3 linked regions of the Arabidopsis thaliana genome follow. The protein of the gene in region 2 interacts with the protein of the main gene of each other region in a pairwise test. Each region holds a gene or a part of one and is shown on either strand. Other genes may lie near its edges.

Region 1 (7,405 bases), on a different chromosome or scaffold from region 2:
ACGAGAATCTCATAAGCTATACTTGCTCTTTTTCTTTCTCCACCTGATATTCCCTTGACAAAACCTCCTCCAACTCTTGTCCGACGGCATCTTTCATTGTGTTTTTCAATAAATCTTAGTTTAGTGTTTACAAGAAATGTGTCTGGACATCACCAAGAACATGCTTGAAGAAAGTCTACGAGCTAGGTCTCACTATAAGCTGGAAATATTCAAGAAGTGTACCTTTCGAGGCCGAGCTCTTTGATGATCATCTCTATTTTGGCGTATTTTTGTTCCTTGCTCATGCTACTTGGAAGTCTTAAAAACGCAGCAAATGCCAAGGTCTCTTCCACAGTAAGTTGTGGCAACAGAACATCGTCTTGCGTCACAAAGCCAATTCTGGAAAACAGGGAAAGATCAGCACATAATAGTATGATTCAGGTAGGAGAAAATATCCAACTCACCTCCTCTTAACAGATGGACTGTAAGGAATGTCATTATAGGTAAGCTTCCCCTTGACATTATCTGTCAATCTTCCTCCCATTATCTTCAGAAGAGTTGTTTTGCCACTACCCGAAGGCCCCATTAGCGCAAGGATTTCGCCAGGACCTGTGCTTCCTGTTATGCCTTTCAAAATGTGCTTGTATCCATCTGGATCCGGATTTGTATGTGTTACCACCTTTGACACCATTGTTTTCACCAGGTTTGCTGAGCTAGCATGACTGTTTCTCACCTTATACTCCACATCTTCAAACTGCATATAAATAAAAGAGGCGAAACCAATAAGCTTTGTCTTAATGAAGGAAAATCGAAAGCAAAAGAGAAAGTTGAACCTTGAGAAAGATGGGAAGAGGGGCATCTTCGAGAGGATAAGTGGAAACGAACTCTTCATCAATGTCAATCTCGGATGAGTATTGGTTTCTGAGGTAAGCTTGTGGCATGAACTCCATGTTGTGAACTATGCCATTGCTTCCTGTAATCTGCATTACATGATTCTCTTCAACTTCTTCTGTTGATCTTCTGATCTCCATGTTATCTTTCTTATTCTTGTTCCACAAGAAAATTGTTATGAATGTAGGCTTGTGTTATATAACGGAAGAAGTGTGTGGATCAACTGTGTCAAACCTGAAACTTTCTTGCTTTTTGTGTTCTCTTTTTCTCTCTGTTTATCAGGGTGTTAGTTTGGTAGACCACATTCTTTCAATGTTTTTGTATTAAATTGAATGCATTTGTTGACTTGAACAAGGAGCAAATGAAACTATATTAATTTCAATATACTTTATATGGTACTAAAATCATTTACATTTATCGACTTGGCTTGCTCATTGACGATCACAACGTACGAGAATAAATGTCCACTTGCTCATATAAACTGATCACTTGATTATATTGTAAGATTCGGAAGAATTACAGATAAACGAGATCAAAGCGGTTTGTGGCACTCACAAAAATTGAAAAAACAAAAGGCACCAATTCTCTTGTCCCCTTGCCAAATACTAATCTTCTTCTTGGGGGGTGATGTATCCTAAGTATGTACACAAAATCACTCAAAATTCCAGACTTAAACATCTCGTACCAATCTGAATATGCATCTTTCTAGTAATACTCCTTGACCTAGTAGTTGTTTCCCAGATTTGTTCGTGCAGCTTGAGGTTGCTGATTAGTTACGTGCGATGGTCCTATGGGTTCAGTCCTCGCAGATATAGATAGAGGCGCCAGTATTGGCTGTGTTTGTTGATATAACCCACGGATCCCAGCCTGCATGGTTGGGAAAGCTATAGGCTGACCTTGAAGGGATAAGTTGTACATGGGACTGGCCTGCAGATTGGCTAGACTCTGCTACATGGAGCCGTGTTAAAAAACTATAGCATAACATGCAATGACAGTGGGGAGAGTCAGAGAAAAACTAACCAGTGGTCCAGTTGTGTACATGTTTTCCTTCTTTTCTTCCTTGTGAGTAGCATTTATGGTGGCTGCTGATGGGATGTGGTTGAAGGCGTATGAAGTATATGAGAATGGAATCGTGGTAGGTGGAGAGTTTCCAATGTCGCTTCCGGGTTTGATGTGAGTGAGAGGTAGTTCAGCCCCTGGAGGTGCTGGAGCATCATCTCCGGGTGGTAAGTAAGACTGTTGTTGGAACCCATTTGGGCTCAAGTACTGGTGAATGTATGGTTGCGGCATATAATAAGGGGGGAAATATGGACCATAAGGGAAATAGTTAAGAGAGTATTGTTGCCTATAAAGGTGCATTGCCTGTTGAGCGGCTGCTAAGGAATACTGATCAGGATAGGAGATAGGTGGAGCATCACACTTTGCAGCCTGCAATTATCAACAAAATATAAAAGACAGTGATTAAGCATTGTGTTCATATTTCCTGGCTAGAAAAACCACGCGGTTGGCCTGATGCTGACAATGAATGCACAAGACTAAAAAGACATTGTGTGGGGCTTCTTGATAATAACCAACCTGATGAGTGTCTGTGATTGGTAAAACCTCGTTCTTTACTTTATCTCCTTCTGAACCTTCTTCAGGGAGAACAGTTTGATCTGGCTGCAATGTTAACTCGTTCTGAGCTGCTGAATTTGAAATCTCATGATTCTTATCCTGAGAAAAAGTTGATATATCTTTCCTGCAAACCAAGTTTCATATAAAGGTATTCATATCAGAAACTCATTCATCTGAGACTCTAGATCAATTCATGAGAATATTGAAGCAAGTAACACTGTAAGATTTACTCAAAGTAGCTATTAGTCACCAACCTAGCTGATGCGGCTGTCCCATGAGAAGACTCAATATTGGAGTCATCACACCCAATAGTAAACTTGTCAGAAGATGCCTCTCTCACAAAATTAGAATCGAAGCTCCCAAATGTCAGACCATTTTCCAGCATTTTGGCAACCTGAATGTGGACAGGAAATGTTACGTGCGGCCGTTCACCAACATCCGACTTGAGAAGCGACTCATTCTTGCATTTACTGGCTGCAACCTCACTCTTAATGACTGTTCCAAATAAAGCCATACGTCGAATCACATAAGAGGCTGTAATCAAACTCAGGAACAACTTAACAGAATACAGAATGCACTTAAAGCAACATTAGCAGGCAAGTAATTATATGGTATAATTTATACCTCGCTCGGACTGTTGTGGGATCTGAAAAGTTTCAACTACAGCATATTGAGTATCGTTTTCTACAACAGAATCTGATACAGCCACTGATACACTACTTTCTTTAGACTTATCCGGCTCAACAACATCCTTAGAAGAAGAAGTAGCCTTGGAGAGAGGCTGTTCCTCTGTGTCCACCTTGTCCACAGGGGATATGATAGCATCTTGAATTTTCTGGTTACTGATTCCACTTGGAAGACTTATAGGGTTCGGGGCCCTGAAAAAGAATAGAATGCGTTAGGAAGCCCATATCCAAAGAGGGAATTAAAGACATAGACAGAATTAAAAGTATGGATACATTATGGAAGAAGGTTTTGTGTCGTTTCTTGCATTGTTAGGAGCAGACGAAGCAGTTCCAGAACCTCCTATTATGTGATTAGCTCCACTCTGCTTTTTAAAAGCTGCACTTCTTCCATTACTGGCATCTGAATCAACAAAGAGCTTGAATCAAGGAAGGAAATATAGAACACAAGTTTAGAAGTAAAAGAACATAAACCACAATGACCTGTGTAACTTGAAGCAAAGTTCTTCCGTCCAGTCCGGCCCCTTCCTTGTGTATTTGGCACTAAATTCTACAACAGGTAATACACATAAAGGCATAAGAGAAACGAGATGATGTAAGCTAAACAGAGAACTCAAGACCACACTTAAAATGCAAAGTAAGGATTCAAAAGAACATAGGAAAGCTACCTCTTTCTTTCTCTCCCGTTTGCTTCTCACCTCATGAAATGTATCTGAAAGATCAGTAATAATATATGAGTACATGTCTGCTATCAAAGTACATGATTATGTTGATCTTGAAACAGTAGACAGAATCAAAACTTAACCCAGATGCCCAATCTCAATCAAAGCTAAACAGAAATTCCCTTTCCACATTCCAGCTAGATTGGTAAAGATTTAAAACGACAGTTTCTTAGTCATGAACCCAAATTCTACATATTCCATTTCAGTAAAAAAGATTCCTTATTTGAACATCCCCAGACATATTATACCAATTAGAAATCTAAATAAACAAAACATAAGATTCTAAGCATAACACACAGATTCTAAGACAAGACCAAAATCGACAAAGGGCATTAAATAGCAAAATCCAAAACAAAACCCTAGGAGAAGCACACGCTCAATACAACAAAAAGGAAGTAAAAACACTAAAACAAAAACAAATGCTGAAGCTTTCTCAGTAAAACAACCTAAATAGAGAAGCTTCTGAGTGGTCTCATGTGGATCACTGAAACACTCCTTAAAGACAGAGAAGATATCCTCGTCGGAATGTTGTTTACCGGTAACCTCTCTGATGTTTTGAATGGTTTGAAGCAGATCAGCCGGAATAGAAACCCTAGAGCCGCCATCGCCGCTGATCCTGCTCATGTTGGTTACAGAGAGAAAGAGAAGCGGAGGGAGGAGGAGAGAGGAAATATGGGTTGAACATAAAGACTTCGTATATAGTACTATTATTTATTTCCGTACAATCTACCGCTTAATGTCTCTCTCTACGTATATTTATACGCTGACGTCACTGTTTATCAATTTCCTCCTCATTATTTGATTGAGTACTATTATTTATTTCCGTACAATCTACCGCTTAATGTCTCTCTCTACGTATATTTATACGCTGACGTCACTGTTTATCGATTTCCTCCTCATTATTTGATTGTTTTGTACGCGTTTAATGGAAGGAGAGACAACAAAGTTGATATGGCCGAGTTGGTCTAAGGCGCCAGATTAAGGTTCTGGTCCGAAAGGGCGTGGGTTCAAATCCCACTGTCAACAATTTACTTTTTTTTTTTTTGTCTTTTTACAAGAATAGGAAAAATAGACAGCTGTGTAAAAAAATATTAACTTTGTTTTGTTTCCACAAGTCGATGTCCAAATTTAAGAATATATATATATTACACGATTTAGCTATCTCCTCTAATTAGATGAAGAGACATCAGATCTTATCAAAACCCTAGCTTTCGGTGTCTCTCTCGATCCTTTAGCTCAATCGAAAACTGAATTTAGGAGCTGCGATGGGTTCCAGATCTCGTAATGATAATTTCCAGTCCGGCGATGGCGCTAGTCCTGGGTACGTTTACTTCTCCTACCTCTTGCATGTTTGATTCCACAGGATTAAGGGAAATATCTCATAATCTGTTGGCTTTGTAACTCTTTTTATATTGTTGGTTAAGGTTTAATTTATGTTTTGCTTGGAATTTTTGTGTTGCAGGAAAATATTCATTGGAGGATTGCACAAAGACACGACTAATAGTAAGTTTCTTCCTCTTGTTTTGTTCTAGAAATTGCGTTTCTAAGTTTTGTTATGTTATGGATTCTTGTGTGTGTTTCTGATGTTAGACCTGTTGGAATGTTGATTCTACTTGCTCACTTTGGTTTTGATTGCAGCTGTGTTCAATAAGCACTTTGGCAAGTACGGGGAGATTACAGATTCTGTCATTATGCGAGATCGACATACTGGACAACCTAGGGGTTTCGGTTTCATCACCTTCGCTGACCCTTCTGTTGTTGACAAAGTTATCGAAGATACTCATGTCATCAATGGCAAACAGGTCGGCCACTTCTCTTTTCTTCCTTCACTAGCTTATAGTGTTCATTTTTAGTAGGGTGTTGGGTCTTGATCAATACTTTTTTCCTTGTTTTGATGGAACAGGTTGAGATCAAAAGGACTATTCCGAAAGGTGCTGGTGGCAATCAGTCAAAGGACATCAAAACAAAGAAGATTTTCGTTGGTGGTATACCCTCAACGGTTACAGAAGGTAGACCTCCCTCTTGGCATGATATTTTTTTGCTTTCCATGAGAATGCTGGTTTCCTGTCCTTATTGAAGTTGGTTTCTTTTTCTGTTGATCAGATGAACTTAAGGACTTCTTTGCCAAGTATGGGAACGTGGTGGAGCACCAGGTTATTCGAGACCATGAAACAAACAGGTCCAGAGGTTTTGGTTTTGTAATTTTTGATAGCGAAGAAGTCGTAGATGAATTATTGTCCAAAGGAAACATGATCGATATGGCAGACACTCAGGTAAGCTTGTACAAATGGGGATTAGAATTTTGGTTCATGATGACATATTTATCTTGGTTTCAATTTGATATTTTCTCCTTGTTCCTTTCATTATACACGTTTAACTTAGTTAGAATTCTACCCACTAGCTTACCAAATGTAAGGAGCTTGTCACAGTAAGATAGGAAATCCCTGCTATAGTTTGGGTCCTTAGCATAGCTAGGTTAATTAAGTTGCTTTGTTGTAGGTGGAGATCAAGAAAGCTGAACCAAAGAAATCTCTAAACCGTTCACCTCCTTCTTACGGTAGTCACCCTAGAGGTCGTTCTTCTAACGATAGTTATGCAAGTTATGGTGGACCTTACGGAGGTTTTGATGGAGGGTATGGTCATCCTCCAGGTCCCATTAGGTCACATGGAGGTCCTGCTAGTAGATATGCTGGGGGATATGGGTATGGTCGTGGCAGTGTAGGCCCTGAATTTGGAGGAGGTTATAATAATTATGGGGGTGGTAGTTTAGGAGGTTACCGGAATGAACCACCCCTTGGCTATTCTAGTCGTTTTGGACCCTATGGGAGTGGGTTTGGTGGTGAGGGATATGGCCGTGGAGGAGAAGGAGCCTATTTGGGATATCCTCGTGGAGGAGGGGAAGGCTATGGGGGATATGGTGGGCCTGGTTACGGCGGTGCATATGAATCTGGTGGCCCAGGTGGCAGTTATGAAGGAGCAGGTGGTCCATATGGGAGGGGTTATAGTAGCAGTAGTCGATACCATCCGTATGCAAGGTAGGGTCGAGGTAATAGCAATCAGTTGGAGCTATAGAAGCTTCTCTCACAGGTTCCTCTAGATTGTTCCAATTGCTCTAGGTGCATTCTAGAGTTATCATGTAGCGCCAACATCAGGAAGGGTTGCTAAGGACAGGAAGAGCATCAAAAAGCTTTTATTAGTCATCTTTTAGTTGTGTGTTTACCTAATTTAAGTGTTGTCTTATCTCTATAACTTAGATTGTGTTATGTAGACTTTAGCATATTTGGGCTTGGAGTTTGTTTCTCACTGGCACAAGAATGATTTATCATTTGGTAGTCTTGTTAGATGATCAATTACTCGCTTAGCTTAGTTTTCACAATCATACGAATTAGCTTAAGAAGCTCTGCAAAATGTGCACTCATCTATTCTTTAGAGCTCAAGTTGAATGCTTTATGTGGTCTCTTGTATCTCTGTACATTTTGTTGTGCTGAACAAAGGTTTGACGGCAGTTAGTGCATG
Region 2 (6,962 bases):
AATGATATATCATTGCATCACTTTTGATTGGCTGTCTAGATGAATTGGGCATCAAGAAAGTCTTCACAATGAGTGTAGATAAATGCAAAGGGAAATGGCAAAGCTTTACGGTTATTCACAGAGGATTTGATGGTGAGAGTTCTAGATGCATTAGTTCAAAGTGGTGAGTATATTCATATGCGTTGGTGCGCTCATATTTTAAACCTGATAGTCAAAGATGGGATATGTAAAGCTAATCATAATATAATGGCTATCCAAAATGCAATCAAGTATGTGAGGTCATCGAGTGAAAGACTCAAATCTTTAAATCTAGGGTTGAGGCATGAAATGTAAGTAAATAAAACTTATGTCTAGATGTTGTTACTAGGTGGAATTCGACTTATCTTATGCTCACAGTTGCAATCACGTTTAGAGGTGCATTTGATAAGATGTTGGCTGAAGATAAGTTATAGAAAAGAATGAAGATGATGATGCTGATGATGATAATGATGGCAAACATGTTGGTCCTCCATCTTCTGCTAGTTAGCTGGGATGAAGTGCAAATGTTAGTTAAGTTTCTGAAAATCTTTTTTAATTGCATTCTTTCCTCTTCAACATTTAAATAAGTGACATCCTCTATTTGGTATAATCTAATGATGATGGTTATGAGATGATGGACTCTTTGTACACTAAGATGGTAGCAGAGACTACAAATATAGAATCTAGTAAGGAACTTGACATTTACCTGCTTGAAAAATATGTGCTAAGAATTACAAGTGGTTTGAGATTGGATTATGATGTCTTAAGATGGTGGAGGAGGAATAGTTCTAAATTGCAATCTTTGCAGAATTAACAAGAGATGTGCTTGTCATACATGTCTCCTTTCTCAATTTAGAGTCTGCATTCAACACTAGTGGTCGTATTTTGGATCCTTTCTGAAGTTGCTTGTCACCACTCATGGTTGAATCATTGATTTGCATTCAGCAATGGCTCATGAATATCATTAGTTGAGAAGTTAGCAAACCTGATTCAGATGTTCGAAGAATTAAAGTTTTATGAGTCTTTAAGTACTCATTTTCTCTCTATCTTTCAGTTTTTTTTTGTTGTTATTTTTATATCTATAGACTCAACTACATTTTATTTGCCTTGTGTAGCTTCTGAGAGTACTCATACACAATCATTAGTTGCTCATTGACGTGGAGTTGAAAATTGAGGTATATTTGATATATTTTTTTGTCATTCATTTACCTGTGAGAGCCTTTTCTTTTAATCAGTAATATATTTTTATTTTCTTTCACAACAGACAAGGTGACAAATGCATTAAGATTTTTAAGCGGCTTAAAGGCTTGTCTTTTCTCTTTATTTATTTTGTATAACTAACTCTTTCTCTTTTGGCATCGACAAAACAATGACAACATACCAAATGGACCTGTAAGAACTTAGGCAGAATGGATCATTGGTAGTTTGTCATTTGTGTCAAGTTACATGTTTTTTGGAACAACTTATGTATCTTTTGTATATATCACGATGATTAAGGTTCGCTACTAAGTTGTTGTTGTATTAATAATTGATGCGTCTTTTTGTTTGGTTGATTTTACATTCGTTTAGTGATCAGACCAAAAAAACTGAATAAACCATGTTTGAACTGAACCAAAGCGAATTATTAATCGGTTCGTTTTAGAAAAAGTTCATTTTCCAAAAAAAACAAAAATCAAGTAACGGAAACAGAATTAACTTTTTCGGATCAAAATTGCATGCCTATAAAATTTTATGTTATTAATCCAAATCCATCCAATCATTTTTTTTCGTTTTTGAAACCGATAAATTATTTGTTATTGTTTGTGAACAATATTCAAAAGTCCCAAATCAATAAAAAGAAGAAAAAAACTAATTATGATTTGGAAATAAAAAAAGAATTAATCAAATCAAATTAAAATCCTCACTAAATTGTAAACATGGTGTACATAATATGATTACGTGACAAAATATTATTGAAAAGATATCCAAAAAATTGCAAAAAAAAAAGAATAAGAAAAAAGGCCAAAACCAAATTCTCAATTCTGGTCGGAGTTTGTCTTTATAAAAAAATCTTAGAAGCCATATATATTTTCTGTTTATATATTTTGTACAACAAACTCTTTCTCTTTTAGCGTCTACAAAATAGTGACAACATACCAAATACACTTATAAGAACTGAGGCAAAATGGATTATTGGTACTTTGTCATTTGTCAAGTGACATGTTCTTTTAGAACAACTTATGTATTTTTTGTATCATGAATCATGATGATTAAGGTTTGCTACCGAGTTGTTTTTGTATTCATAATTTATGCGTCATTGTTGTTAACTTGTTGTTTGGTTGATTAGTGATCAGACCAAAAAAATTGAATAAACCATGTTCGAACTGAACAAAGCGAATTATTAGTCAATTCGTTTTAGGAAATGCTTTATTTTCCAAAAACCCCGAAAAATCAAGTAACCAAAACCAAATTAACCGTTCGAATCAAAATCAAAGACCTATAAAATTCTATGATATTAGTCCAAAACTAAATCCAAATCCATCCAATCATCTTGTTCTTTTTCCGAAACCAAAATAATATTTGTTATTATTTATGAACAATATTCAAAAATCCCAAACCAATAATAATAATAATAAAAAAAAACTAATTAGGATTTGGAAATTAGAAGAACAACTAATCAAATCAAATAAAAATCCTCACTAAATTGTAAACAGGATATGATTACGTGACAAAATATTATTGAAAAAATATCCAAAAAGTTGCAAAAAAAACAAAAAAAAAGCATAAGCAAAAAAAAAGAGAGGCCAAAACCAAATTCCCAATTCTGGTCGGAGTTTGTCTGTAAAAAAAACCCTAGAAGCCATATATAAACACCACAAGTAAACTCGTTTCTTCACCTTCCTTCTCTCCTTCACTCTAATTGCGATTGATTCTCCTGTCTTCTCCAATTTATCAGGTAATTGCTTCTGCTTCATACTTCATACCTTATTTTCCAATCTCTCAATCCATCTTTGTATTGGAGCAAAGTTTATACCTTTCAATTTCTCAAACTCGACTAGTTATAGATCTATGGAAGTTCAGTTCAAACCTTACATATATAATATCTGGAGAAACCAACTATGTGTACTTGCAATTACAATAAGCTAATAGATTTCGTACTATAAAGTTAGATCCACATAGTACAATTCTAAGTTATGCAGATTGGAGCTCTTGTGAATTTTTGTTTGATTCGATTTTGCTTGAGACTGTCTTAGAGAAATTGCAGAGATGACACCTGAATCAAACGCTCCCTCAGTAGATCCACAATTTGTAGGCAATGGGTTTGTTCAAGAATACTATAACCACCTTTATGATTCAACCTCGGAAGTACACAAATTCTATCTCGAGGATAGTATGATTTCACGGCCTGGTCTCGATGGTGAGATAGTTACTATCAAATCCTTGAAAGTAAGTTCCTTTAGCCACTTTCATAGTATGTCTCATTGAATTATTGTTGTTAGTATTGATTCGACGAATGTTTCATCGTGTTTGCAGGGGATTAATGATCAGATAATGTCCATTGACTACAAAAGCTCAAGGATCGAGATTCTAACTGCTGATTCTCAATCAACTTTAAAGAATGGTGTTGTAACTCTAGTCACGGGTTTAGTGATCGGGAACGATGGAGGAAGGAGGAAATTTTCTCAGAGTTTCTTTCTTGTGTCGCGGAATGGAAGCTACTTTGTGCTGAATGATACCTTTAGGTATGTGTCTGATGAGTTTGTTGAACCAGAAGCTACCAAGGAGGTTGAGGAGAGTCAGTCAACAAATGCTATCACTGGTAAGTCGTTTTACCAATGGTTTCAAGAATCTGAAAATATTCACCACCTTGACATTGTTTTGATTCATGTGGTAATGGTTTTGATTAGCAGAGCCTGCAAATGAAAGTGTAGAGGCGGTTATTGTCCCTACTGAAGCTAAAACTACGGTGACGAAGCCAGCAAGTGCCATACCAAACGGACATGCGAAAGTCCCTGAGGAGAAAGTTGTGAATGAAAACAGTAGCTTACCTAAAGCTGCTGAAGCAAAACTTCAAGAGGAGGTTCCCAAGAAATCGTTTGCATTAATTGTAAGTCTCCTCCTTTGTGCTTAGTTTTTATCGTATAATATCCTCTAATCTGTTGGTGTGATTTCAAACTTACAGGTTCAATCTCTGGCTCAAAGCGCTGGTACTTTACAGGTTAAAGCCTCGCCGGTCAAGCGTAAACCTGTCGAAAAACCGGTTGCTGCTCCGGAGCGCAAAGCTCCTTCCCCAATTCGTAAACAGGCTTCTGCTGAAAGCATTAAACCACAAGGTTGGTTATTCATTGTTTAATAGTTAAAAACAATGAATTTGAAAATTCTTCTACTTGCTTTTGTCTCATTTGATTATTTGTTTTTCACGTATCAGCTCAGGGTAGTTCCATATTTGTTGCAAACTTGCCTATGGATGCGACTATTGAGCAACTTTATGAAACATTTAAAAGTTTTGGAGCTATTAGAAAGGATGGTATCCAAGTCAGAAGTTACCCGGTTAGTTATTCTTTCAATGATCTACAAAAAAATTATTTGCAAAGTTTGAAAAACCTTATAACTGGTTCAATCACACGCTTAAAAATCTGTGAATTTTCAGGAAAAAAAGAACTGTATTGGGTTTGTGGCATTCGAAAATGGTGAAGCAGTAAAAAATGTCTTTCAGGTATGTTTTTGTTTGCATATCAAACTCTCGGCTATAATGTAATTTGAAGTTCTTGTTATCTGATCTCCAAATGCACAACTCTAGGCTCACAGGGAATCACCAATCAGAATCGGAAACCGAAGAGCATCTATAGAAGAAAAGCGAGGCAAGTTTCTGAAAGGCATTGTTGTCTCAAAGATTGTAACTTTAATTAAATGTAAAAACAAAATCCTAATCTTACTTTTTCTGGATTATGCAGGAGGTAACAATCAAAATGGCAACAGAGTCTCTACAAGAAACAACAGTGGTTATAAAAATGAGGATGGTTTCAGACGTGATGGATACAAACCTAGGGGCAGTGGCGTCAATGGAGGACGAGGCTATGGGAGACGGAACAGTGAGTCTAATGGGGATGGTAAAGCATACCAGAACAATGGCCATGGCAATACTGAGGCCAAAAACTAGATTAGTTTTTTCTTCTTCTAAGCTTTGCTCATGGTTGAGAATCTGAGGTTGTAGGCGATGTTAAAACAAATTTTTGTTTCCGTGGATATCTTAGGTGTTGATCTTTTCGATTTGTGATATTGTTTGGGGATAAATCTAGAACATTTTTCTTCACTCTTTGATCTCTGTATCTTCTCATGAACAAAGCAGAGAACAAAATCGAATTGATTTAAGGTTCTAATGACCTACATACTTTCTTTACAGGAGATAAACTCCACAACTTTTGTTTTTGTCTAATCAAACATCAAAACAGAATCAAGAACAAGAAGAACAACACCACGGACATTGAGGAAAACATGAGAAGCACCTACACATTGACTGCTTCTGATTTGTTGCATCTGCTACTGGTTTTTGTGACTCTTGTGACTGATTTGCTTGTTCCTTCTGTTTCTCCGTTTCTACCTTTCTTGAATCACTTGCAGCTCCAGCCAAACTGTAAAAACCAAAAAAGCAAAGCAAGAAACTTTCATTAAAACCGAGGGGAGGAAATGTTTGTCAGCCATGGTCATGGATGGAGTGTATTTACATTGGGAAAGAGAAGGAGTGCGCGCTGTTTGAGCTTCGGTTAGAACGGTAAGAAGTTGTAGGAGTTTTCCAAGAAACAGCAGGATGTTGTTCTTTCTCATGGCTTTCTCTTTTCCCTTCTTCTTCATCTGATGATGATGTATGTGTTTCTTCTACTAGTACAACTTTCTCTTCCTTATCTGATTCAACAACTTTCGGTTCTTCGACTACGGGTTTTGGTTCCGATCCTGGTACAGGCGGCATAGGAAGTCCAGGACTATACGCAAGTAACTCACCGGATTTATAAAGTTCACCTGATTTCATCAAATCACCACCATAACCAGTGAAACTATTGTTTCCTAAATGAATACTGAAGAGAGATTCATTCGAAGTGCAGCTCCATTCAGCTGGCACATTCGATTTGCTTCTCTCGAAAACCGAAGATGGAATCCTATTCGGGTCATATTTTCCGTTGTTATCTCTATCCATTACTTGAACAGGTGGTGAAGAAATCTCCGGATCATTCAATGATTCTTTTAGTACCTCTTCAGGTAGATCTTTCGGTGGCGATAAATACGAAGAAGAAGAAGACGAAGATGACGAAGACGACGATAATCTTGAATGTGATTCTGAGTTAATAATTACAGTTTCTGTTTCTTGTAAAGGTATCGTTTTATGCTCAACATCTCCATTTTCGTCGTCTAATGAACCTTTTTTGTTTACATCTTGATCATGTTTTTGTTTGGATAACACATGTTCTTCATGTTTAGACTCCATAAACACCTGGAGAAGCAATCATCAATGCATCATTTTAAGCAATTTCTCGGGCTATTCGAACAAATATAACATCAAAAAACATACCTTGAAATCGATTTGACCAGAGCCTGATGAGTGAAGTTGTGAAATTTCGTTTCTTTTTCTTGCTAGAGAGAATGAAGGAAGAAAGAAAAAAATTAAGATGAGGAAAAGGGGATCTAGGGTTTGGTTCGTTGTCTGGAGATAAACAGAACGAAAGGTATCTCGTAAAGTTCGGAACTTTAACTAACAAAACCATGGCTGCATTTCGCGCCATGTCTTCTTATCTGTTCTGTTTTATAAATGATCCTCTGTGTTACGGTCTATTTAAGAAACCGTGTTCTATCCAATAGATAAACGCCTTGACTTTTAACACGTGGCTTCAGATACTAGAACAAAAAAAAAAGCATCATTGTTCATCTTCTTCCTCTTCTGTTTACTGTTTGGGGAAAGTGAAAGCTTGTAA
Region 3 (9,565 bases), on a different chromosome or scaffold from region 2:
GTTTCTAGGTCTGATCTACAGATCCTGGTACCCTAATTTTCCCCTGCCGCAACGGTCTCCTCCTTCCCTTCGCCGTCATTTCACCGGTGGGGTTTTACATCTGAATCTCTGTGGTTGAGAGAAAAGCAATCGACTTTAGTGAGTGTTGAGTTTATATATTGGAAGGTAGAAGTTGAAGTGCGTAACTACTGTTGCAAAAAAAGGTACAAATTATGAGCCTTTTTGGGTTCTCATTTCTTAGATTTGATTATTTTTGGTGGAGGAAGTGACTTGGGTTTCATTCTTCTAAATTCTCAGGTCGAAATTGAAACTCTTTAGTGAGTGATAGAGATGCTGACATGCATAGCTTGTACGAAGCAGCTAAACACCAACAATGGTGGATCTAAGAAACAAGAAGAGGATGAAGAAGAAGAAGACAGAGTTATTGAAACACCCAGGTCTAAGCAGATTAAGTCCCTGACGTCACAGGTAGAGATAAACATTCTTCCTCTGTGTCACTTTCACGAAAAAAAAACACAAATGAGAAAAGGACCATTTTTTGCTCTTGTTGGTTTCTGTTTGGAAGCTAAGAACAAATCAATTTAAGTCCGTGACTTTCAGAATGTTTTTCACTGTGTATTTAATTTTGTGAATAACATGTGATTCTTGTATGTGAATCTTCAGATTAAAGACATGGCAGTAAAAGCATCAGGTGCTTACAAAAGCTGCAAACCGTGTTCTGGGTCGTCTAATCAGAATAAGAACCGAAGCTACGCTGATTCGGATGTTGCTTCGAATTCTGGGAGGTTTCGTTATGCGTACAAGAGAGCGGGGAGTGGAAGCTCAACACCGAAGATTTTGGGGAAGGAAATGGAGTCAAGGTTGAAAGGTTTTTTGAGTGGAGAAGGAACACCTGAATCCATGAGTGGTAGGACAGAGTCTACAGTGTTCATGGAGGAAGAAGATGAGCTCAAGGAATGGGTTGCTCAAGTGGAGCCTGGTGTCCTCATCACATTTGTATCATTGCCTGAGGGAGGGAATGATATGAAGCGGATTCGGTTCAGGTAATTTTTAACTGTTTTGTAGGATTTACACTAAGTAAAAGTTTGGATATTGGACTTAATCAAGATGGTACAATATGTTTCCAATCAGGAATATTGAAGATGATACTCAAATGAACTAATCCATACTGTTTTGAAATTGTTTAATTTGATTTTGGAAGTAGAGATGTGTGGTTCTTGGAGACAAGCAATGTGAGAGTACAGTTGATATTTAGGATATTATTATGTGAGATTTCTGTGTTGGAAACTGTTGCTGCTTTCATTTTTCTTGAATCGATTGAAGTGGTCCCAAACCATTTCTTATAATTATGAGAACTTGTACATCCTTTTTGCCAAGAAAGGTCTTTGAGATGTGGGTTATATTTCGGTAGTTGAATCCGATGGAGAACTTAAATGAATTCCCCAAGGACAATTGTGTGGGGAAGTGTTTGTGAATTTCGTAAAGTTCTTTTTGTATGTGGAACATATAATGAGAGCAAGATGATCTAACTAACTTTCTTCATGGCAAGAGGAACACTTCAGCTCCCTAGGATTGATATTTCTAGATTCTAGTTTTGACAATTTACTGCAGATCCCTTGAGTTTTGTGAACCTAAGACTGTTAACCTGGTAGCTCTTTGGTTCTGTATTGTATATGGTTAAGTCAGCTCCTAATTTGTTGATTTCTTCAAATTTGTATTACTTGCAGCCGTGAAATGTTCGATAAATGGCAAGCTCAAAAGTGGTGGGCGGAGAATTTCGACAAGGTCATGGAATTATACAATGTACAGCAGTTCAATCAGCAGAGCGTCCCACTTCCAACTCCTCCTAGATCTGAAGATGGGGTATATGCACCCTCTTCACTTCTGAACACATGAATCTACTCATCAAAACCTGTCTTTGATACTTTGAGGTCTAACTAGTTTTAATTTGGTATACCAGAGCTCGCGAATTCAGTCTACCAAGAATGGTCCTGCAACTCCACCTCTGAACAAAGAATGCTCTCGAGGAAAAGGCTACGCTTCTTCTGGCTCACTCGCTCACCAACCAACAACCCAAACACAAAGTCGACACCATGATTCATCTGGTCTTGCTACAACACCAAAACTCTCTAGCATAAGTGGGACAAAAACCGAGACATCATCTGTTGATGAGTCTGCAAGAAGTAGCTTCTCAAGGGAAGAAGAAGAAGCAGATCATTCAGGGGAGGAGCTATCTGTAAGTAATGCAAGTGACATTGAAACAGAATGGGTGGAACAGGACGAAGCAGGTGTTTACATCACAATCAGAGCTTTACCAGATGGGACTCGCGAGCTTAGGCGTGTTCGCTTCAGGTAAAGATACATTACTTTCTCTGTTCCTTAGTAAAACCCTTTCAAAAGCAAGCACTTTAACAACATTGTCTTTGTGGTTGTAGCCGAGAGAAGTTTGGGGAAACGAATGCAAGATTGTGGTGGGAGCAGAACAGAGCTCGGATACAACAACAATACTTGTGATGACCGATGACGGTCGAAGGCTCTCTAGAGAAGAATCTGACACACACCAAAACAAAACACTTTTCTTTTATATGTTTTACTTGGAAAAAAGCTACAGAGTGATGGAAATAACTTGGGATTCAGATAATGAATGTGCTTTTTAGTTGGTGGTTGTTAGTACATCTCTTTCTCTTCTTTCTCATCTACATCTATCTATAAAGAGGAGGTATTAGTTTTACTGGATTTTCTTGGTGTTATTTTCTTAAGGTAATGTACTGTATATAGTTTAATACTAAGAAAATTCATATTATTGGATTTGAAAATTACACTTTGTGCACTTTATTACTTTTTCTCTAATTATATTGACCATGATTGGTGCTAATAATTATGGCATGTACTTAAATGTTCTGAATAAGAAATGTATAAAGTAAAAACCAGTTAAATTGCCAGCTAACTTGTATCTCCTTAGAAATTTCCATTTCTCACTTCTCCTTTGACTAATCTTTCTATTGAGTTATATTAAGGGTAAAATAGTCAATTAGGTTTATCCAATTAGTGAATTTGGAACCAATTTTTTCGACGCGTGAGAATAAATCCTAACTTCTTTTTTTTTTTTGTTCTCTTAAAGCCGTTCCCTCTTCTCTGTACTCGAAACCCTAGTAGTTGCTCTATCCGATTTTAGGGTTTAAGAGTCGAATCATTAGCATCTACCTTGATTACGCTGATCTCACTTGGTTTCGCTACTCGATCCTTGAATTTCTTTGTTTTTTGTGTGTTTCGGTTTATTCGATACGTCTTTGATCCGTAATGGTGACTGGGTCCAGAACTAGCGGTAATCGTGGGGTAGGACTCGATGATGAAGCGAAAAAGATGATTCAATCGATTAAGGAAGTTGTGGATAGTCACTCCGATGCTGATATTTACACTGCCTTAAAAGAAGCTAACATGGATGCTAACGAGGCTGTGGAGAAGCTGATTCATCAAGGTTTCTTCTCTCTTCATCTCTTTTTCTGCTTTCCTAGTTTGACGGAAGTTAGGGTTTTACTGTTTGTTCTCTGGTCCGCATTATCTTGATCACGATGAATGCTACAACATCTTGTTTGAGGCGTATGTAGAATGCTGTAGATAGGTTATGCAAATTTCGTTTGATGGAGTTCTGTTGATAATTCGATAGATGGATAACTCTTGTTTTCATTTCGATAATTTGTCAATTCTCTTCAGAATACTTCAATTACTATATACTTGAAATATTATTGGTCTTCTTTTCTTGGCTCTCGTTTCGTTGGGTGACTAATATGTGTGTTATTGTTGCCATCATAGTTTTGGTTCGCTAAAAAGCTTTTGTTTTGTTCAGATCCATTTCACGAGGTGAAGAGAAAAAGAGACAGGAAAAAAGAGGTGAGGTTACATATAACTGTTATGGTATCTTGTTCCCAGTTCTTCTCCTTTTTAACATTTTTGCCAATGCAACCACATTGTAGTTTTTTTGTTTGACTCTCCTTAGTCTTTTCGAAACTGCATTTGAAGAAGGTGACTAGATTTTTCATAATGTTAGTTGTGCTTGTGTGACTATTATATCTCATCGGATGTCTGCTGTGGCAAGCTATATTTTTTTTTTGTTTTGTTTAGTATTTTGTGTGCCTTCTAATTTAATTGATCGTCAAAAAAAATTTCAACTTTTCTAGCCATTCAAATAGTTTGATGAATTTGTAGAGATCATCAAGACACCTCTTGTATAACCTCTGATTTTTAGGGCGTTCCTTTGGTTTCAGGATACAGTATTTGTTGAGCCTGCCAACATAAAGAAACCTCTTGAAAATGTTACCAGTGAAGTGAAAGTTCGTACACAGCCTGAACATAATGTTCGGAGAGGAGGCTACAGTAGGAATTTCTTCCCCAGGAACGCTGCTCAACGAAATGCATCTCCTAGAAATCCTGCTACTGGTAAATCAATTTGATGATGATATACTTGCCAGTTTCTTTCGCATGCTTGTACAGTTGTACTAAAAATCTTTAATTTGTTTTAAGCTGTCTTTTGAATGGTTCGTAAACATAATCTATATAACGGCAGTATCAAATGAACTTGGTTAAATCCAGAAAAATATATGCAGGCAAGCAAAGGAAACGTAGAAGAAATTGTTTTGCGTTGATTTGTTTTTTTTTTTTAATCTTTGTTATTGGCCATTGGCGTGAGGCCTTCAAGTTTTATGTAATGTATTGACCATATTCACCTAGAAATGTTTTTCTGTCTGTTTGTAATTTGTTCGTTTCATGTTAGTGCAGGATCCAACAAAGAGTTTCGCGTTGTTAGGGACAACAGGTCTAATCCAAATGTTGATGAAGAGTTGAAGCATTCTTCTGCCCAGTCCTCTGGATCAAATATTAACAAAGTGGTTGCCACTGTGAACAAATTGGGGTATGTATCATCAGTTGTAATTTATCCTATTGTTCTTATTCTAGCATTTTTATCACTAACTTGCCTTCTTTTATACATGTGAAATAGAATGATTTGTTACTCTTGTAAAAATATTTTAAGGGAGTTAATTTGCTTTAGCTGTACTTTTCCAAAAAATAGTAAAGTAGGACTCTTTTTTTTTTTTTTTTTTTTTGTCAATGAACTCTTTAAGACAATAAGAAGCATAGATTAGTTTTGTGCCATACTGCCATTGGGTTTTGGTAGACGGAGATAGGAGTGTGTATGTTCACTTGGTAGGCATTCCTTTGCTAGCCCAACAAGGACTTCTTGTCTCATAATTTCAAGAAAACTATGCTGAATTTAAATAAGAAAATAAAATTTTCGCTCTATTTTAACTGTTTGCCAGCTCAAGAGGTGGTTTGGGCAATCGTAACTCTTCTGGGGCTCAAGATTCAACTGACGAGTGTAATGCTCCAGCAGATGCCAGGCTCAGACAGGCTGAAATTCGTCCTTTGCATTGTCCTGTCAATAAAGAACTCGGTGGAGTTACTTTGCCATCAACCAATTCAGTTCTTGGTGTATATTCGTCTTCCAAAGATCCAGTTCATGTACCTTCTCCTGTTTCTAGATCATCACCCGTGGGAGCTATTAAACGTGAAGTAAGGGGTGGAGGTTTAGGTGGAAAACCTTCTGAAAATGTTGGTAAAGATCCATCTGTGCCCTCTTTTTCAGGGTCCTCTATTAGAAAAAATGGACCTCCAAATGCACATCGACCATCTTCCCCAACTTCAAAGATTGATCACAGTCGAACTACTGCACGTGAGTCTGTTATGCCCAGTGGAGTGGAAAAGAATAGGTCATATTTGAACAGACAGCGTGGGAATAGAGGAAGCCAATATGCTAGAACACAACAAGTTGGTGGCCATACAAAGGGTAACTTATATGCAAATATTTATTAACCGAATGGATGTTGTGCAATTTCTTATTTGATTTCTGCTAGGCGACACTTTATTTTCTGTGTAGCTTCTGCTTTGAGTAATATAATCCCTTCTTTCAATCTATTGGGAATTCCTGGTGAGAAGCCATTTCCTGTCATGACTTCTGATATTCTTGATCAACCTGTACTTATTGCAGGAGCCTCACAGAACAAGGAGTGGAAGCCTAAATCTAATCAGAAACCTGTTGGACATAACCCTGGAGTAATTGGAACACCTACAAAGTCTCAAGCTCGTCGTCCTGCTGATAATTCCATAAATGTGGAAACAGAAGCCGTCAAGTTGCAGAATAAGCTTTCACATGTTCATATAAGTGAAAGTCAGAATGTCATCATCGCAGATCATATTCGTGTCCCGGAGACTGACCGCTGTCAGCTAACTTTTGGTAGCTTTGTTCAAGAGTTTAATTCCTCAAGGAATTCAGAATCTGCTTTCGAAGAATCACACTCTTCAGAAGAAGTTAGAGAATCTGATCGTAGGTAAGTTCTGACAGTTGGTGGGTTTTTTTTTGTACATTTGAATATAGTTTGAGATCACATGCATCTTCCCCAATTAACTTGGTGATATTGTTGACAGTTCGCCAGTTACTTGTCCTGAGGCTTCAGCAGATGGTCCGGGCGTTCTGCCTATCACTATTGATGATCATGTCAGAGTTTCTAGATCTGACTCACCCGTCTCGGCAGTATCTGAGCCACAGTTACCCGAACAGAAAGAAACTCATAGATCTGACAATTTGGATGCGTACTCGGGGATTGAATTACTCAATAGGAATGGTCCACCTTATACTCCTTTGGAGTTTGAACAGCAGCAAGATCCTCCGGAGTTGCAAAAATTTTCTGTAAGGGTTCTTGCAATTTTAACTCTTAAAAATCAAGGAAAGATAAATTCATTCAAAAATGACATGCTCTTCCTTTCCAGCAGGCTTATGACAATCATGGTAGTTATGAATTTCCGTACTTTAGTCCTGCAATGGATGAAACTGTACGAGTTCAAGGATTACCATCTCCACACGAGGTAATTTATGTTTCTGTTGTTAGTTGTTACTAGTTTGCCAGCATGAGTTGATGCGTAAGAGTCTAGTTAGCTCCTGTTTGAGCAGTTGGTTTGTGCATGTGTCATAGTTATCTTTTTTGTTTTATTAACTAGGAAAAACTGATCAAGTATCCTTTTGATAATGCAGCAGGGATTAAGTGCTCACATGTTAAATAATGCCCCACCATCCACTATTCCCATGTTACAGCAACAACAGCAGGCATCAATGCAACAGATGTATCCGCAGGTCCATGTTTCGCATTTTCCCAATCTCATGCCTTATCGTCAATTCCTTTCCCCAGTCTATGTTCCCCAAATGCCCATGCCAGGCTACTCAGGTAACCCAGCAGCATATGCACACCCTTCAAATGGCAATAGCTATGTGCTGATGCCTGGAGGCGGTTCTCATCTCGGTTCAAATGGTGTCAAGTATGGAATCCATCAGCAATATAAACCAGTTCCAACTGGTGGACCTGCGGGTTTTGGGACTTACAACAATCCTAATGGGTATCCAACTAATCCTCCCAATGTAGTTGGAAACGCTACGGGACTTGAAGATCCATCTCGCATGATAAATAAACATGGAAATATTTACGTTCCAAATCCTCAGGTAATGATAATTGATAAGTATGGTAGTTGTGCCCGAACTTTATGTTTTTACCAATTATTTTTTATTCTGATTCATGTCTCCTTATCTAACACTACAGGCTGAGACTTCTGAGATATGGATGCAAAATCCAAGAGATCTTTCAAGCCTTCAGTCTCCATATTACAACGTAGCTGGACAATCGCCTCATGGTGCTTATTTATCATCCCATACAGCACACCAATCGTTCAACCCAACTGCGCAATCATCTCACATGCAGTTCCAGGGTCTCTTCCACCCGTCACAGCCTGGTACGATGGCGAATCCGCACCACATGGGACCTGGCCTCAGTGGTAATGTTGGAGTCGGTGTCGTTCCCTCTCCTCCTCCGTCTCAAATTGGTACCTATCAGCAATCACAACTTGGTCATCCGAATTGGCCATCAAACTTCTGAAGAAAATCTAACCTTTGTCTTCTTGTCTAATGGATTATATAATAGCCAAAAGCAAATATTTTGATTCTCCTTATGAAACGCCAAACTCTGTTTTAATTAATCTTTATTTATTCAATGCATAAAATGTTCCCAGCTCTCAACAATTTGTCTATAAATGCTTTGTCTGCTTCCATAGCCCCTCATTATTTACAGCTGCAGGTATGGTGTTATTCTCCCATGGCGTCAAATTGTCAAGGTAAAGTCCTGTCCGTGCTTCTTAATCATTTACTGCTATTATAGTTTCGGTCGACTTCAAGAACCCTACAATGCATGTGAAGGTTTTTAAGTGTGGAACCCTGTGAGTGAAACATTGTTGCTTGGTGCTAGTGTTTCCCATTGTCAATGTTCTACAAGTATTAAAGAGAATTGTGTGTTTTGTTTAGCTGTTCAATGTTCTTCTTTGAGTTATGTGTCTTCTCTCTCCATTTCCTCATATTCCTTATTAAATTCTTGATAGAGAATCATTAGTTGTTGAGCTTGACCTAACTTTCCTCTAGCCTTTAGAATAGATTACAAATATTCTTAATCGGAGAACTAGTTGAAGCTCAGGCCTATAGGTTTTGATTATCTCCTTGATTACTTTAGTTTTTAGGTGTCATAGCACACTGTGTCATCATAACAAAAGAATCTAATTGATCGTTTTGTTGACATATTTAGAAAAGTAAATATACTTAGTTTGGGGAGGTGGGTCTTAATCAAGGAGCCAACTAGAGTTTACTTAGAGCCTAATTGGTACGGACTTTGATTCCTTCTCTGATTTAATAGGCCTCCTAAGTCCTACCTTATTGAGAAATGATTACTCTCTACGAATCTCTTGAGACTCCATGATGTTGAGTCACTAATACTCTATTAATTTGTCCCATTTTGACCGGTCTAGGTTTTATTAAACGTAATTTCACTATTGATAACACCTACCGCACAAGTAAGGATTGGCTTGAGATTCTCTGAAAATTCTATAAATTTGTTCTTTGTGATTTAAAATGGTACTGAAAATGATTGAGGAGATTTTGTAATTAAAAAAGTAATTTTTGATTGAGACTATAGCTAGAGTAGAGTAGAGGCTTAGGGTTCATACTTCATAACTTAAGATAACCCGCATGTTAGAGGGATAATGATGTGAAATGTTAGCTCTTTTTGACCCTATTCTATATATCTCGTAGAAAGATTATAAGAAAATAAGAAGAATTAGCAAAATTTAATTGAAAATCAATTATGTTTACTTATCCTCAATAAGTCAAAAGGTCCCATGATCGGTTTTAGAGATTTACAAGCATGACCCCTAACTCCTTACTACTTCTGTTAAATCAAGGCTGGTTTGTTAATATTGAATCATAAAGATTTGAATTTCTCCCTACAAATCATCTAAATTTTGCGTAAATTCGACACGTAATTTTTATAGTAGGAAATTGTTTTCTATGAACGATGAAAAGTTTGAAACGTTGTATGTCACTGTGAACCTGACATGTCAAATCAGAGATAATGGAGTGATTTATAGATATCCATACACTGACTGATATATACACCAACAACATTGTTGTATGGTATCATAA

The links. Proteins that work in one complex are often made in the same cells at the same time.
Region 1: the proteins of AT2G03640 (region 2) and GIP1 interact in a two-hybrid assay, tested with the Arabidopsis thaliana proteins (one large-scale study listed by BioGRID).
Region 3: the proteins of AT2G03640 (region 2) and AT3G13990 interact in a two-hybrid assay, tested with the Arabidopsis thaliana proteins (one large-scale study listed by BioGRID).

Annotation. Positions count from the first base shown.
Region 1 is NC_003074.8:4,249,694-4,257,098, forward strand, and holds GIP1 (GBF-interacting protein 1), read right to left. Parts: upstream 4,586-7,405; 5' UTR 4,514-4,585; coding exon 4,336-4,513; intron 3,880-4,335; coding exon 3,836-3,879; intron 3,718-3,835; coding exon 3,651-3,717; intron 3,571-3,650; coding exon 3,444-3,570; intron 3,363-3,443; coding exon 3,109-3,362; intron 2,980-3,108; coding exon 2,739-2,979; intron 2,609-2,738; coding exon 2,446-2,608; intron 2,299-2,445; coding exon 1,891-2,298; intron 1,816-1,890; coding exon 1,594-1,815; 3' UTR 1,265-1,593; downstream 1-1,264. Other genes in the region: ABCG26 (ABC-2 type transporter family protein), read right to left, coding at 1-90, 223-378, 444-733, 813-1,010; AT3G13224 (RNA-binding (RRM/RBD/RNP motifs) family protein), read left to right, coding at 5,155-5,210, 5,352-5,392, 5,528-5,691, 5,793-5,898, 5,993-6,162, 6,389-6,928. UniProt on the Arabidopsis thaliana protein: Plant specific protein that enhances G-box-binding factor (GBF) DNA binding activity. May function as a nuclear chaperone or lever and regulate the multimeric state of GBFs. May contribute to bZIP-mediated gene regulation.
Region 2 is NC_003071.7:1,102,721-1,109,682, reverse strand, and holds AT2G03640 (Nuclear transport factor 2 (NTF2) family protein with RNA binding (RRM-RBD-RNP motifs) domain-containing protein), read left to right. Parts: upstream 1-2,815; 5' UTR 2,816-2,953; exon of another isoform or gene 2,954-3,251; 5' UTR 3,252-3,264; coding exon 3,265-3,444; intron 3,445-3,531; coding exon 3,532-3,817; intron 3,818-3,905; coding exon of another isoform or gene 3,906-3,908; coding exon 3,909-4,105; intron 4,106-4,180; coding exon 4,181-4,331; intron 4,332-4,426; coding exon 4,427-4,548; intron 4,549-4,648; coding exon 4,649-4,714; intron 4,715-4,798; coding exon 4,799-5,158; 3' UTR 5,159-5,369; downstream 5,370-6,962. Other genes in the region: AT2G03630 (suppressor SRP40-like protein), read right to left, coding at 5,453-5,630, 5,724-6,478.
Region 3 is NC_003074.8:4,624,119-4,633,683, reverse strand, and holds AT3G13990 (dentin sialophosphoprotein, putative (DUF1296)), read left to right. Parts: upstream 1-3,070; 5' UTR 3,071-3,300; coding exon 3,301-3,478; intron 3,479-3,847; coding exon 3,848-3,891; intron 3,892-4,265; coding exon 4,266-4,437; intron 4,438-4,776; coding exon 4,777-4,909; intron 4,910-5,315; coding exon 5,316-5,842; intron 5,843-6,043; coding exon 6,044-6,383; intron 6,384-6,480; coding exon 6,481-6,742; intron 6,743-6,822; coding exon 6,823-6,918; intron 6,919-7,084; coding exon 7,085-7,546; intron 7,547-7,643; coding exon 7,644-7,976; 3' UTR 7,977-8,301; downstream 8,302-9,565. Other genes in the region: ATBRXL2 (DZC (Disease resistance/zinc finger/chromosome condensation-like region) domain containing protein), read left to right, coding at 331-468, 664-1,043, 1,728-1,863, 1,961-2,352, 2,436-2,514.